2 linked regions of the Stegostoma tigrinum genome follow. The protein of the gene in region 1 interacts with the protein of each later gene in a biochemical or structural test. Links are inferred from orthologs where the notes say so. Each region holds a gene or a part of one and is shown on either strand. Other genes may lie near its edges.

Evidence for each region.
Region 2: the proteins of ptprb (region 1) and cntn1b form a complex in vitro, tested with the Homo sapiens proteins (2 studies listed by BioGRID). The link is inferred for Stegostoma tigrinum from reciprocal best matches to the Homo sapiens genes PTPRB and CNTN1.

Annotation. Positions count from the first base shown.
Region 1 is NC_081371.1:44,953,384-44,960,544, reverse strand, and holds the start of ptprb (receptor-type tyrosine-protein phosphatase beta), read right to left. Parts: upstream 3,026-7,161; 5' UTR 2,972-3,025; coding exon 2,920-2,971; intron 1,927-2,919; coding exon 1,513-1,926; intron 1-1,512. UniProt on the Homo sapiens protein: Plays an important role in blood vessel remodeling and angiogenesis. Not necessary for the initial formation of blood vessels, but is essential for their maintenance and remodeling. Can induce dephosphorylation of TEK/TIE2, CDH5/VE-cadherin and KDR/VEGFR-2.
Region 2 is NC_081371.1:8,302,426-8,309,701, reverse strand, and holds the start of cntn1b (contactin 1b), read right to left. Parts: upstream 3,023-7,276; 5' UTR 2,960-3,022; exon of another isoform or gene 2,892-2,959; intron 1-2,891. UniProt on the Homo sapiens protein: Contactins mediate cell surface interactions during nervous system development.

The sequences.
Region 1 (7,161 bases):
AAATATATGTTGTCAAGCCGGAACTGGGCCCAGGCAGGTGACCCAGTTCTATCCAGGTCCTAGGGATTCTGTTCCTCCCTCCTCACTTTTTCTTTTTTCAAAATCAGAAATATCTCTGCAGAAACGCGCCACCTTTTGAAATGCAATCTATTTCACTTTCCCTAGCAGTTCACCCGCTGAGGAAGCGCAGACAGACTTCCCTGTTTCCCGGTCAGGTGTTACATCAATGAAAGGAATTCGGGGCTCATCAATGCGAATAGGGGAAGGGTATTGACTGCGTGCCCCCTACCCTCGTCACAAAATGACAGCGAATAAACTTGAAGAACTGAGGTCTTATGGCGCAGTGACAGTAACGGAACCTCTGGCCTGCGTAAACCCAAATTCAGGACCCACCTGCTTTTGAGGTGTGCAAAAACATCTTTAAACATCAAAAGAAACGTGGGTAGTATTCGTTCTTTCAGTTACGGCCCTGGGTAAATTGCGTTTCACACCCAGCAGTAGGGATAATGGACTATATATGTGATATGACATTTGTTTGTTCTGCATGGAAAAAGACTGTTCGCAGACAAATCAACATTCCGCTCGTTTCTAAAGTTGAAGTACACTATCAAACGAGTCAAGGCCTGTCTCAGAGTCATATCCTTCCTCTGCAAGAGAGTTCTGGTTTCCAGATCATTCCGAAAAGGAAACCACCTCCCATCCTTTAATGTCCCAGCTCTCCGGGAGTTTCAAAGTGCACTTTCTGCGCTTTCTGGAAAGCGGGATCAGCATTTTGGCTGTGATAGTAGGAACTGCAGATGCTGGAGAATCTGAGATAACAAGGTGTAGAGCTGAATGAACACAGCAGGTCAAGCAGCATCAGAGGAGCAGGAAAGCTGACGTTTCGGACCTGGACCCTTCCGAAACGTCAGCCTTCCTGCTCCTCTGATGCTGCTTGGCTTGCTGTGTTCATTCAGCTCTACACCTCGTTAGCTCTTTTGACTGTGAGCTCTTCAATCTGTGTACCCTTGTGGTCTCTAACCACTACTACACGCTGTTGTGGGGCAGCTGAAGGATGAGATAACACTATTGAGATTGGAATCTCGGCCTAATCTTCCTATGTTTCTTATAAGAAGTGCTTTTAGCCTTGAGATAGAATTTTTAAAACATCCTAGTGGCTTTTCCAAGGGGATTCCTCAGAAAGCTATAAGGAACTCCATATATTAAGGTCAATGGGATATTCAGGTCCCAGCAAACAATATGATTGCTCCCCCTCTCCAAATTAGTTTATCTGCGACTTCGGTTCTATTTATTGGTAAATTCTAACCTTGTGAGTAATTATTTCCGGGGAGATTTAACTTGTTTTGTTTAGTTGATAGGCTCACACTTTAGAGATGTTGCATTGTATTGAGACGTCAGATTGTTGCTGCATAAAATGGGCCAGTGGCTCCATTTCCTGATTAGATAACCCGGCAGATTTGAGGAATGTGGCAACTTCACACGGTTACTGGCCAGTTCTATGGAACATCTCACCTTGTGTTGAGCACAAGCTGAGTTTAACGGGCTCCCCACTCTCCCCGAGCTCGTACTTGAGCCATCTGTCATGGTACTTCGTCTCGGCCGTCACCACCGGCAAGTAGCCCCACTTCTTGAGGAACATTCTCGGATGGGCGACCCCGAGGCTGCCCGGCAGCTCCTCCTCGCACTGCCAGCGAGGCGCCTGGGCACACTCTCGCAGCGCCAGGTTGCGGAACTGCCGCCGAGTCGTGTTGACCGTAGCCAGGCACCGGTCTACCTTCGGGTCTACCTGCTGGAGGCGCAGCTTCCTCTGCTCCGTCCACTGCCACTGTTGCGACGGGCTGGTCAGTTTGCATGCGCCAACCAACACCGTCAGGTTTTTGCCCAGCAGGCACCGTTCCTTGGCAGCGTGGAGGATCAGGAATCCATCTGTGGGGAGAAGGACCAACATGCATTTACATAAACCAGTTAAAACACATGGTTACAGTGTCAGAAATCAGTCATCAAGGAAGATATCTTCCCTCCCATAAACAGCTGCAATTCAATTTGTATTTGGACATGACTGTTGCAATCTGGAGCTAGACACTACGTTGTTACAATCTGTATTTGAACATTGTTACAATCTGCATTTGAACGCTAATTCTTTGCAAACAGTATTTGGACATTAATTTGTTAGTCTGTATCTGGGCACTACTTCAAAAACAATTCAGTGTCTTCACTGCACCAGCTGCACAGACAGACCAATACAAGGAATACGTCTCGACAGCAGTTCCATCACTCTGGCCTCTATCGAGACCATTCCGTTAAGCTTCGATCCCGAATTGACAGAAAACACATGCCCCCACCCCTATATTTAACTTGGAATGGTTGGAAACAATTGCACATCATTCAACTTCACATTAAGCTCAAAGACATCGGGATGAGCACCAAACCAACCAGATGTGTATCCCGTGATTGTTTGGGGGATGGGGGGAGGGAGAGGGGGCTATTCTTTCGGCTAGGTGATTGTCTCTGTTCCACTCTCTTCACCCCCTCCCCCGCCCCCAAACCACTGAAGCGGCTGTAGCCTCTAACTGTACTCAATGATTAGACAAGTGGCCGCAGTGCCCCGAGGCTACCGGTCAGAACCAATCCAGATCGGAACCGGAAGACATCGGTATTATGTTTCAATTTATTCCACCAAATCGAACAACTTTGTTGCAAACTGGGGCCAACAAACTGCAAACTATCTCACAATGTGTTAGACATGCCGGGTCTGCTACAGCGTACAGTTGTGTACAATATAAAAAAAAACTCATTTCCGTTCGTTCCTTTTTTAAAAGAAACTGCGGTTGGATTTGGACTGCTGGCAAGGATTAACGTGGAATAAGGAACACAGATTCCTATACAGCTATTGAGCACTGCTGAGTTTAATCCACTTACCAGATAAAGCCAGTAGCGTAAACGTAAAAACCACGAAGAGAGGACTATCCATTTTTACGATATTCTTGTAACTAGGTTACATGCTACCCTCAGCACAGATCGCTGAAGCTAAGCGTCGAAAGGAAATGTGTCTTCAGGGGAAAAAAAAAGTTGGTGACGACCACTTCCTCCTATTCAATCTCTTTTGAATCTTTCATGTCAGAGTGTCATATTGTGTGATTTCTCGGAAATCATCCTAACCCTCATGGTCACACATGGCGAGGCCATCTCGGATTTGGTTAATTGTGATGAGACTGTCAAAATTGATTACTTCTATCCCAATTTCGGCCATGTCGCAATTGTGATATTTTTGTGCAATCTGTTCTCTCTCATCATATATGTCTGTTAGCACAGAAATCAACAAACTACTCCATCTGTACAATTGCTGGATAAACCCACGCTCCTTTCGCATGTTGAAGTCAGTACTTTCAAATTGCACAGTTGGAATGTTTTGTAAACAAGTTGTTGTGGAAGACCTGTTGACATTAGTTACAAGTTAGATCCTCAGCTCTTCAAAGACAGGCATTTAAATCAAATGGCAATTTTTGTGACGATTTGTGTAGTGACAGGTATTATTAAAAGTAGGACCCAATGAACCACTTTCTTAAAATGGAAATAGAACTGCGCTCGTAAGAGTCAACAGTATTTTATTAAATAGCATTTTCATACTAGAACACTCATTGACAGAAAACGAATTACATTCTATGGTATATTTAAAGAGTTTGCAATAAATTGGGTTGGGGGATTGACTCTAGTTCAGTCAGAGTTTTTACAGCATGGAAAAAGACCATTTGGCCCATATGTCAATGCTAGTCATCAAACATTCATCTACTCTAATCCCATCATCCAGCACCTGGTTTGTGGTCTTGGGACTGTGATGTTAATCTAAATATTTCTGAAAGGTCTTGGGGATTCCCGCCTCAACCACCCTAATTCCTGTTGCTTAGCACTGACATAGTTTAGTTAGATGTATGCATTAATTGAAATTAATAATGGGAGTAAGAACACATCATTGTAACTCACTCTTGCTCCAGATATTTGGTTTCTTATTAAAATATATATTCAAGAACAAGATTTCAAAAAATCATTGCATTTATTGTCATCATACACAAAATTTAACAGGGATGAACAAAAACACAAATTATCCTGTGCAGATTCTGCACTGCTTTCTGTAAACAACTCATTAATGTAAACAATTTCCTGCACATGACAAAAAAGGAATTTGAAATATGTCTCCTCAAATGGAACACATACCACGTAGCTGCATATAGAATAAAGCTAAGTCAATGTTTCATATTTTTAGGCTTCCATTCTCATTATACATTCCATACAGTTCCACATTGCACTTCTTGTCTGCCAGAAGGAACAAAATATTGATACTACTTCACAACATGAGACAGAGAGAGAGAAAGAGCGAGAAAGATCCTGTAAGTGTTAACCACAGGGATTTGCTTAATATCTAAGAAGCGCGTACATTTAGACAACCCCCATACAAATACATTGTCAAAGACATAAGAATACATATACTGATTGTTTAACATTATGCATCTTGATTGCTAATTAGGATTACAAATATGCATACAATTTAACACCATATCACAAATAAAAACCTGCATCTACATTGCATACAAAACATTTACAGTTTTAAAATATTCCAGAATTAAACAGTTATTTAAAATTCATGAATAAAACACTTGTGCATTTCAGCAGCAAGACAATAATGTGGTAAAGAAATAAAATTCACCACTTATGAAATAGCATTTTCACATGTATATATTAATAACTCACATCAAGAGTTGTGTGCAAGAGTTCAAAACACAGAAACAATTGATAAAGGGTTCAGTGTTGTACTTCTATCCAAACTCTTTATCTCTCAAAGCAAGTTCAACAGGCACTGCTTTTCTTAGACCATTGGGTTTGCAAGTATTGTTTAGCTGAACTTAACATAAAAAAGGCTTTAATTAGACAGAGATAATATTTCACATAAAGTCAGTTAGCTGCATTTTCCTATAACAGAATTTAGGAAAATATACACGACATTCATTCAGCTATCTTTAATCAATCCAGCAAACACTTTTTTTCCTGTTGTGTTGTGACTAGCTTCTGCGTTTACCATGTATCACCTGTCTACTGGAAACGATTCTTGTTCTTGTCTCTCTAAGTAATATGTTTCATTACTTCAAGAGATAATTTACCTCGTGTCCATGTAACTTAGAATCAAAGGTTTTCATGAATGATGATAGATTTACTGTCTAGTGTCTGCTGAGATTGTGCTCTCATAAAGGCTTAGCGCATGGTGTACAAATCCATACTGTTCACTTGTCTGAATCATTCCTCCTCTGTAATCAAAGCAAACATGTTAAAATAAATTGGATTTCTGTCAAAATAAAAATGAATACACATAATTTTCTGAAATTACATTCAAAGATTATCAACATTTCATAGAATCCCTGCAGTGCAAAAAGAGGCCATTTGATCCATCAATTCCACACTGATCCTCTGAGGAGCATCCCATCCAGACCCAGAGTCCTGTCCTATCCCTATAACCCAAATCATTTATCATGGTTAATCCACCAAAATTGAATATGCCTGGGTACTACAGACAATTTACCGTAGCCAATCCACCCATCTTTGGACTATAGGAGGAAACCCATAGAGATGCAGGGAGAACATGCAAACTCCATACAGACAGTCACCCAAGGTTGAGAATTGAACCTGGGTCCCTGGCACTGTGAAAGCCATCATGCCACCCATCAGTTTTGGCATCTTTATAAGAAATGAAGGAGATGAGAAGAGTAAAGAGCAGGATATGAAGGGAATGGTAATGGGGAGAAAATTACAGTTCTGGCATTTGAATTTAAATTTTGTGGCAGTACATATCAATGACACTCACCACTGACCTTGAAAATAATTAGCCACAAGGATCTAATAATCTCTGTGGCATGAATTTCCCCTTTCCTGATTCAAACACCAGTATCACCAGCTCTCAGCAAAAATGTTATTATTAAACAAAGTGAGCAACTCATCAGATTGAAGTATTCTTTTAGACAGCTAACTAGGAAACAAAAAACACTGATTATAATTCACTTTACATACATTGTATACAGAATTAAATAATTGGCTGGGTTTGTGGGATCAAGCCAGAAGCTGAAATTTCACAAACTCTTAAAAATCATGATGTTGACATTTCACCATTAGAAAATTAGCTTTCAATGGGGAGAAAAGTTGTGTTTAGGAGTGGGGTTAACCTATTACATCTTTGAAAAAAGGTTTTACAGCATACATGAAAATTTAACCTTTTCGTGAGGTTTACACCAAGATTATTAGTATTTAAGGACTTTTTTTGATTGGTCAATTATTTCTCCTTGAGTTCTGTCTGTGGGGACTTCAACAGCTTGCCCTGTGAAGAATTGCAGAATCACTGATGACAATATATTTGGATTTCCTCATGTAACTGTGCCTATGTGGATTTCAGAAATCACTGTAAGTTTCACAAGAGTAAAAATGGTGAACACTGACCATTTCACTGTCATTACAGCTGTAAAGTTTGGACTTTGCCATTTTCTCTAATTACTCTGCAACCTTAATTAATAGGGAATTGCAATAACACTGAATTAAAAATTCCTGAACTGATAAAGGACAATCCTTTGTACAATTAATCATTTCCCCCATAACTCTTGTAATATACAAATGAAGGGAATTATGAGCACATATCAGTTCAGGTTTTGAGTTGCTAAAAATAAATTAAATTAACTCCCAATTAACTCCCAATGATTATTGAATTTACAGATCAATAAATGATGTGCTTGTTACCTGAACTTTTAGTTGGATGCTCTATAATCATAACCATTTGTATTGGCATCATAAAAGCATTGGTTTGTCATGACAGTGAAGACAAATAATGAGCATATGAATTACGCAGTGTTGTCTGTCATCATCACAATAAAGACAGAGAAATCCGATGAACTAAAATAGCTCATTTCTCTCAAGTTTGAGTTTCAACTTAAAATTAATGTCAAAAACTGCTTTAACTGAAATCAGGTTGTATGTCCACCAACTGAGAAATCAAGTAAAAACTTACCAACATTTCAAAAAAAGCTGGATTAATTCCTAAAGCATCTAACCACCGAAAAGCAGCCCTGGAAGTAGTCAGTGACATAAGAAGACAATGATTTGCACTGAGAGGACAGTGGACACATCTTG
Region 2 (7,276 bases), about 37 Mb from region 1:
GAGGCAGAGACAGGTTGGACTGGTTTTGGGATGCAGTGGGTGGAGGGGAAGAGCTGGGCTGGTTGTGTGGTGCAGTGGGGGGAGGGGACGAACTGGGCTGGTTTTGGGCTGCGGTGGGGGAAGGGGAGATTTTGAAGCTGGTGAAGTCCACATTGATACTATTGGGCTGCAGGGTTCCCAAGCGGAATATGAGTTGCTGTTCCTGCAACCTTCGGGTGGCATCATTGTGGCACTGCAGGAGGCCCATGATGGACATGTCATCTAAAGAATGGGAGGGGGAGTGGAAATGGTTTGCGACTGGGAGGTGCAGTTGTTTATTGCGAACTGAGCGGAGGTGTTCTGCAAAGCAGTCCCCAAGCCTCCACTTGGTTTCCCCAATGTAGAGGGAGCCACACCGGGTACAGTGGATGCAGTATACCACATTGGTAGATGTGCAGGTGAACCTCTGCTTAATGTGGAAAGTCATCTTGGGGCCTGGGATAGGGGTGAGGGAGGAGGTGTGGGGGCAAGTGTAGCATTTCCTGCGGTTACAGGGGAAGGTGCGTCTGTCCGTCTTCCCTAGACTGACCTATCTCCTCCCCACCTCCCCACCTATACTCTCCTCTCCACCTATCTTCTTTTCTCTCCATCTTCGGTCCGCCTCCCCCTCTCTCGCTATTTATTCCAGAACCCTCACCCCATCCCCCTCTCTGATGAAGGATCTAGGCCCGAAACGTCAGTTTTTCTGCTCCTGACATGCTACTGGGCCTGCTGTGTTCGTCCAGCCTCACATTTCGTTCCCCTTCTGGGATTCTGGTTGTAATACAATGTGTTTACCTAGCTCCAAGCACCAGTAATTAAATATCAAATATATGTGGAATGGTAGTTTAATCAGGTTTCCTACATCTAGGTTTTAAGGTTGATTACAAGTACAAAGAAATGGAATTTCACCCAACAGTTTATTCCGCCCCACAGAGCAATAATTCTCACTTGCAAAATTTCTGAGTGACCTACTACAGAAGAGTACATGAAGTGGTTTCACACTGCCTTCCGCATGGATTTCATCTTTGGACTACTTTTTTTAGAAGCTTGACTGCAAGCAAGGCTAAAGAACCCCACCAAAATTTCACAATGGGCAAGGCTGGTCCACAGTCCAATGGGCACACTGAACATCAACCCAGCATTTGTTTCCACTTCTCTCAAAACCCACGTACGTTTCACTAAATCCTGGTAAAATTTCTAACAAGTACCCAGTCATATAACCATTTGTTAGTGTTTAAAAGTGGGGTGGATTGGGGGTGTGGAGTCTGATGTTAATTCAAAAACTTTTTTTTCCACTTGGATCTGCCTTGGCTTTCCCAGGATAGAACATTTCATAAACACATGTACTCAATTAGTCTCATTCAAGCAACCAACATTCTTACATTACCTTCTGGAACCTATCTCTACAGGACTGTCACACAGTGGATTGTATTAGTGATGTTTTAGAGCCACCAATTTGTCTGTATTCACTGCACCCATGGCAATTCAATGTGGAAATTCAGGAAAATCTCCCCAATGCATTATGTTCTTCTAAATTCAGCTCATGGCAAATTAGAGGACAACAGAAGGGCACCAGTGTTAAACTGAAAAAAAAAACACTACTCTATTAGGGAGATTCCTGGTAATGACTAGGAATGCAGTATATCCTGTGTTTCCATGTCAGCAACAGATCAGTTGCAAGGAGATGTGCTAATCACCTTGCCATCACCACACGCCCAAATGGCCAGATGATGCTTATTTGAAACCACTCATTAGGAATCTCACTGGCAAAGTTTAGACACATTCCCAATAATGAATAATAGAGGAGGAGCAGTACAAGTATTCCCCAGAGAGTGGCAGGGTGAAAGAAAAGGAGGTGTTTGGGGTCAGAAAAGAGGGAGAGGGCTCAAATTTACTCCCAGGTAATCAGTGATACCAGTAGTCATCATCTCTAGCATCCCTTCAACACAGCAATGTGAACTCTCTGCAATGGTATTGCTTCTGACATCCCTTTGTACGAAAATACTCGTTAAAGGATGACATAATGCCAGCTAGAGGATGCAGATTAAAATATCTTTCCTCCCATGCCCAAATTCTCAGAAACCAATCACAAATGCAGACTCCAGTAAAAAAACCTATCTTATAAATGCTCTGCTGCAAAATTAAAAGTAAAATTATTACTTAGCTGTTCCTAAATAGGTAAATGGTAGCGGATAGCAAGGATAATTTTTGCGAATACACAACATGAACAGTCTACATACTGGCAACACCCAAATGCGTACACTTCACTCTCCCTTTCTGCTCGTCAGGACTGATCATGAACTCAGCATGTTACGAAGAGTGACACACTCCCGAGTGAGGAGCACATACAAACAGACACACAACGTAAAGCACTGAATTGTACTGAATGTTTGCAAGACAAGACTTTAAGGCACATTTTGCACACCTCTTTCTTTTAGAAAAAAGCTGCAGATTATGTTTCCCACCCTCTCGTAATAAATATTTGCTTCGTCTTCCAGCTTATAAAACTGCGAGGGCACAATGACCATCTACTGTCGCAGTAAGACCAAAACACGACTGAAAAAAATTAAACCCATGCGAGGGTGTTACCTGTGAGAGTTTCCCAGGCCCGGGGGTTTGGAAAAAAGTGGATGAGAGGAATGACCCCCTGAAGACAGGGCTGCTTTGACCCACCTCTCAGACCTACACGTGAAAACTACTCCAAACAACAAGCAGCAGAAAGAGCTGCATTTGGAGATTAGGCTGACATTTAAAAGCGTGGGAGTTGAACGGGACACTGCTGGTGTGCGGATAACACACTACTTTCTGTAGACTCGGCTCAATCCCTGAAAATAATCATAAACGGTTTGCATTTTTGCTGCTGCACTCACCAGGCGAGGGTTTTCTACAGCGTCCTGGGCTTGCTTTATAGATGCGAGCAGATAGAGCTGATACTCACCTGAAGCCAGTCGGCTCTCTCTCAGTCACTGGGACCTGAGTAGCGTTTGACAGATCGCCCCGGCCATCCTGATTGACAGCCGGTTGCTGTGGAATCCGCCGTTCCAATTGGCTAGTCTCGACGCCAATCAAAGGCGAGGTAGCCTATCGGACCGGAGGATTGGGGTGGGTGGGCGGAGCGGCTCCCGCCCAGGCTGCTGCAGTCGCTGCGTCAAACGGGACGGTCGCTGCATTGGAAGCTAGGAGTGTAACAGGATGGGCACTGCAGAGATAGGCAGGTAGAGTTTACAGAAATGTACACACGCACAGACACAGATCTCCAACACCCTTGCAGCAGCATCTTGGCTACCAATTGCAGCGAGGAAACTGACACGCAGCCTGGAGAAGCGGGGGCTGCAAAGGTGTAGGCAACGCCGTAATACCCTGAATATTAAAATTGCATCGCACCCTTTTCGCCTGCGCCCGGATTGCGTCAATGACATTGCAGAGAACTTGCAGGCAGACCCCTAGGAGGAGTCCATCCTCCTCCCCTTGATGCACAGAGTGGGAGGGGCAGCACTCCAAAGCAATCCATCTCAGGAGAAACATTAACAAAAAAGTGATTGACCTTAGCAAGGGAAGCCTGCCCAGTTTAGGAGCGGCTGTCACAGGAGGACTGGAGATCCTAACAAACCTGCCTTAGCTCTGTTACTCTGCACAGGTACCAACACGTGGGAGTGGGAACTGTTGAGCCGCTGGAAGGGGGCAGTCAGATCGAAGTGGCATCGCTGACTCAACACATTGGGAGATGTGGATTTTTAAAAAAGCACAGGACGTGGCGAACAAAAGCTCGTATTAAAGCATGCAGTCATCTCTATCCCAACGCGGGCAACCATGCAGCGACGACATGTTGCTCTGAGCAACACCAGAAATGGGCAGCAAACCCCCTACCCTTCCACTCATCTGGAAATAGCACAGGCCTGAGTTTTAACCGACAAATCCCAGAGAGTTCTTACAGCCAAGATAATAAAATGTGAGGCTGGATGAACACAGCAGGCCAAGCAGCATCTCAGGAGCACAAAAGCTGACGTTTCCGGCCTAGACCCTTCATCAGAGAGGGGGATGGGGGGAGGGAACTGGAATAAATAGGGAGAGAGGGGGAGGCGGACCGAAGATGGAGAGTAAAGAAGATAGGAGAGGGTGTAGGTGGGGAGGTAGGGAGGGGATAGGTCAGTCCAGGGAAGACGGACAGGTCAAGGAGGTGGGATGAGGTTAGTAGGTAGCTGGGGGTGCGGCTTGGGGTGGGAGGAAGGGATGGGTGAGAGGAAGAACCGGTTAGGGAGGCAGAGACAGGTTGGACTGGTTTTGGGATGCATTGGGTGGGGGGGAAGAGCTGGGCTGGTTGTGTGGTGCAGTGGGGGGAGGGGATGAACTGGGCTGGTTTAGGGATGCAGTGGGGGAAGGGGAGATTTTGAAACTGGTGAAGTCCACATTGATACCATATGGCTGCAGGGTTCCCAGGCGGAATATGAGTTGCTGTTCCTGCAACCTTCGGGTGGCATCATTGTGGCACTGCAGGAGGCCCATGATGGACATGTCATCAAGAGAATGGGAGGGGGAGTGGAAATGGTTTGCGACTGGGAGGTGCAGTTGTTTGTTGCGAACTGAGCGGAGGTGTTCAGCAAAGCGGTCCCCAAGCCTCCGCTTGGTTTCCCCAATGTAGAGAAAGCCGCACCGGGTACAGTGGATGCAGTATACCACATTGGCAGATGTGCAGGTGAACCTCTGCTTAATGTGGAATGTCATCTTGGGGCCTGGGATGGGGGGAGGGAGGAGGTGTGGGGACAAGTGTAGCATTTCCTGCGGTTGCAGGGGAAGGTGCCGGGTGTGGTGGGGTTGGAGGGCAGTGTGGAGCGAACAAGGGAGTCACGGAGAGAGTGGTCTCTCCGGAAAGCAGACAGGGGTGGGGATGGAAAAATGTCTTGGGTGGTGGGGTCGGATTGTAAATGGCGGAAGTGTCGGAGGATAATGCGTTGTATCCGGAGGTTGGTAGGGTGGTGTGTGAGAACGAGGGGGATCCTCTTGGGGCGGTTGTGGCGGGGGCGGGGTGTGAGGGATGTGTCGCGGGAAATGCGGGAGACGTGGTCAAGGGCGTTCTCAATCACCGTGGGGGGGGAAGTTGCGGTCCTTAAAGAACTTGGACATCTGGGATGTGCGGGAGTGGAATGTCTTATCGTGGGAGCAGATGCGGCGGAGGCGGAGGAATTGGGAATAGGGGATGGAATTTTTGCAGGAGGGTGGGTGGGAGGAGGTGTATTCTAGGTAGCTGTGGGAGTCGGTGGGCTTGAAATGGACATCAGTTACAAGCTGGTTGCCTGAGATGGAGACTGAGAGGTCCAGGAAGGTGAGGGATGTGCTGGAGATGGCCCAGGTGAACTGAAGGTTGGGGTGGAAGGTGTTGGTGAAGTGGATGAACTGTTCGAGCTCCTCTGGGGAGCAAGAGGCGGCGCCGATACAGTCATCAATGTACCGGAGGAAGAGGTGGGGTTTGGGGCCTGTGTAGGTGCGGAAGATGGACTGTTCCACGTAACCTACAAAGAGGCAGGCATAGCTGGGGCCCATGCGGGTGCCCATGGCCACCCCCTTAGTCTGTAGGAAGTGGGAGGAGTCAAAAGAGAAGTTGTTGAGTGTGAGGACGAGTTCCGCTAGGCGGATGAGAGTGTCGGTGGAGGGGGCCTGGTCGGGCCTGCGGGACAGGAAGAAGCGGAGGGCCTTGAGGCCATCTCATGACCCCACACCCGAGCACCAAACCATCATCTCCAACACCATTCATGACCTCATCACCTCAGGGGACCTCCCACCCACAGCCTCCAACCTCATTGTTCCCCAACCCCACACGGCCCGTTTCTCTCTCCTTCCCAAAATCCACAAACCTGCCTGCCCTGGTCGACCCATCGTCTCAGCCTGCTCCTGCCCCACCGAACTCATCTCCACCTATCTGGACTCCATTTTCTCCCCTTTGGTCCAGGAACTCCCCACCTATGTCCGTGACACCACCCACGCCCTCCACCTCCTCCAGGACTTCCAATTCCCTGGCCCCCAACACCTCATATTCACCATGGACGTCCAGTCCCTGTACACCTGCATTCCGCATGGAGATGGCCTCAAGGCCCTCCGCTTCTTCCTGTCCCGCAGGCCCGACCAGGCCCCCTCCACCGACACTCTCATCCGCCTAGCGGAACTCGTCCTCACACTCAACAACTTCTCTTTTGACTCCTCCCACTTCCTACAGACTAAGGGGGTGGCCATGGGCACCCGCATGGGCCCCAGCTATGCCTGCCTCTTTGTAGGTTACGTGGAACAGTCCATCTTCCGCACCTACACAGGCCCCAAACCCCACCTCTTCCTCTGGTACATTGATGACTGTATCGGCGCCGCCTCTTGCTCCCCAGAGGAGCTCGAACAGTTCATCCACTTCACCAACACCTTCCACCCCAACCTTCAGTTCACCTGGGCCATCTCCAGCACATCCCTCACCTTCCTGGACCTCTCAGTCTCCATCTCAGGCAACCAGCTTGTAACTGATGTCCATTTCAAGCCCACCGACTCCCACAGCTACCTAGAATACACCTCCTCCCACCCACCCTCCTGCAAAAATTCCATCCCCTATTCCCAATTCCTCCGCCTCCGCCGCATCTGCTCCCACGATAAGACATTCCACTCCCGCACATCCCAGATGTCCAAGTTCTTTAAGGACCGCAACTTCCCCCCCACGGTGATTGAGAACGCCCTTGACCGCGTCTCCCGCATTTCCCGCGACACATCCCTCACACCCCGCCCCCGCCACAACCGCCCCAAGAGGATCCCCCTCGTTCTCACACACCACCCTACCAACCTCCGGATACAACGCATTATCCTCCAACACTTCCGCCATTTACAATCCGACCCCACCACCCAAGACATTTTTCCATCCCCACCCCTGTCTGCTTTCCGGAGAGACCACTCTCTCCGTGACTCCCTTGTTCGCTCCACACTGCCCTCCAACCCCACCACACCCGGCACCTTCCCCTGCAACCGCAGGAAATGCTACACTTGTCCCCACACCTCCTCCCTCACCCCCATCCCAGGCCCCAAGATGACATTCCACATTAAGCAGAGGTTCACCTGCACATCTGCCAATGTGGTATACTGCATCCACTGTACCCGGTGCGGCTTTCTCTACATTGGGGAAACCAAGCGGAGGCTTGGGGACTGCTTTGCAGAACACCTCCGCTCAGTTCGCAACAAACAACTGCACCTCCCAGTCGCAAACCATTTCCACTCCCCCTCCCATTCTCTT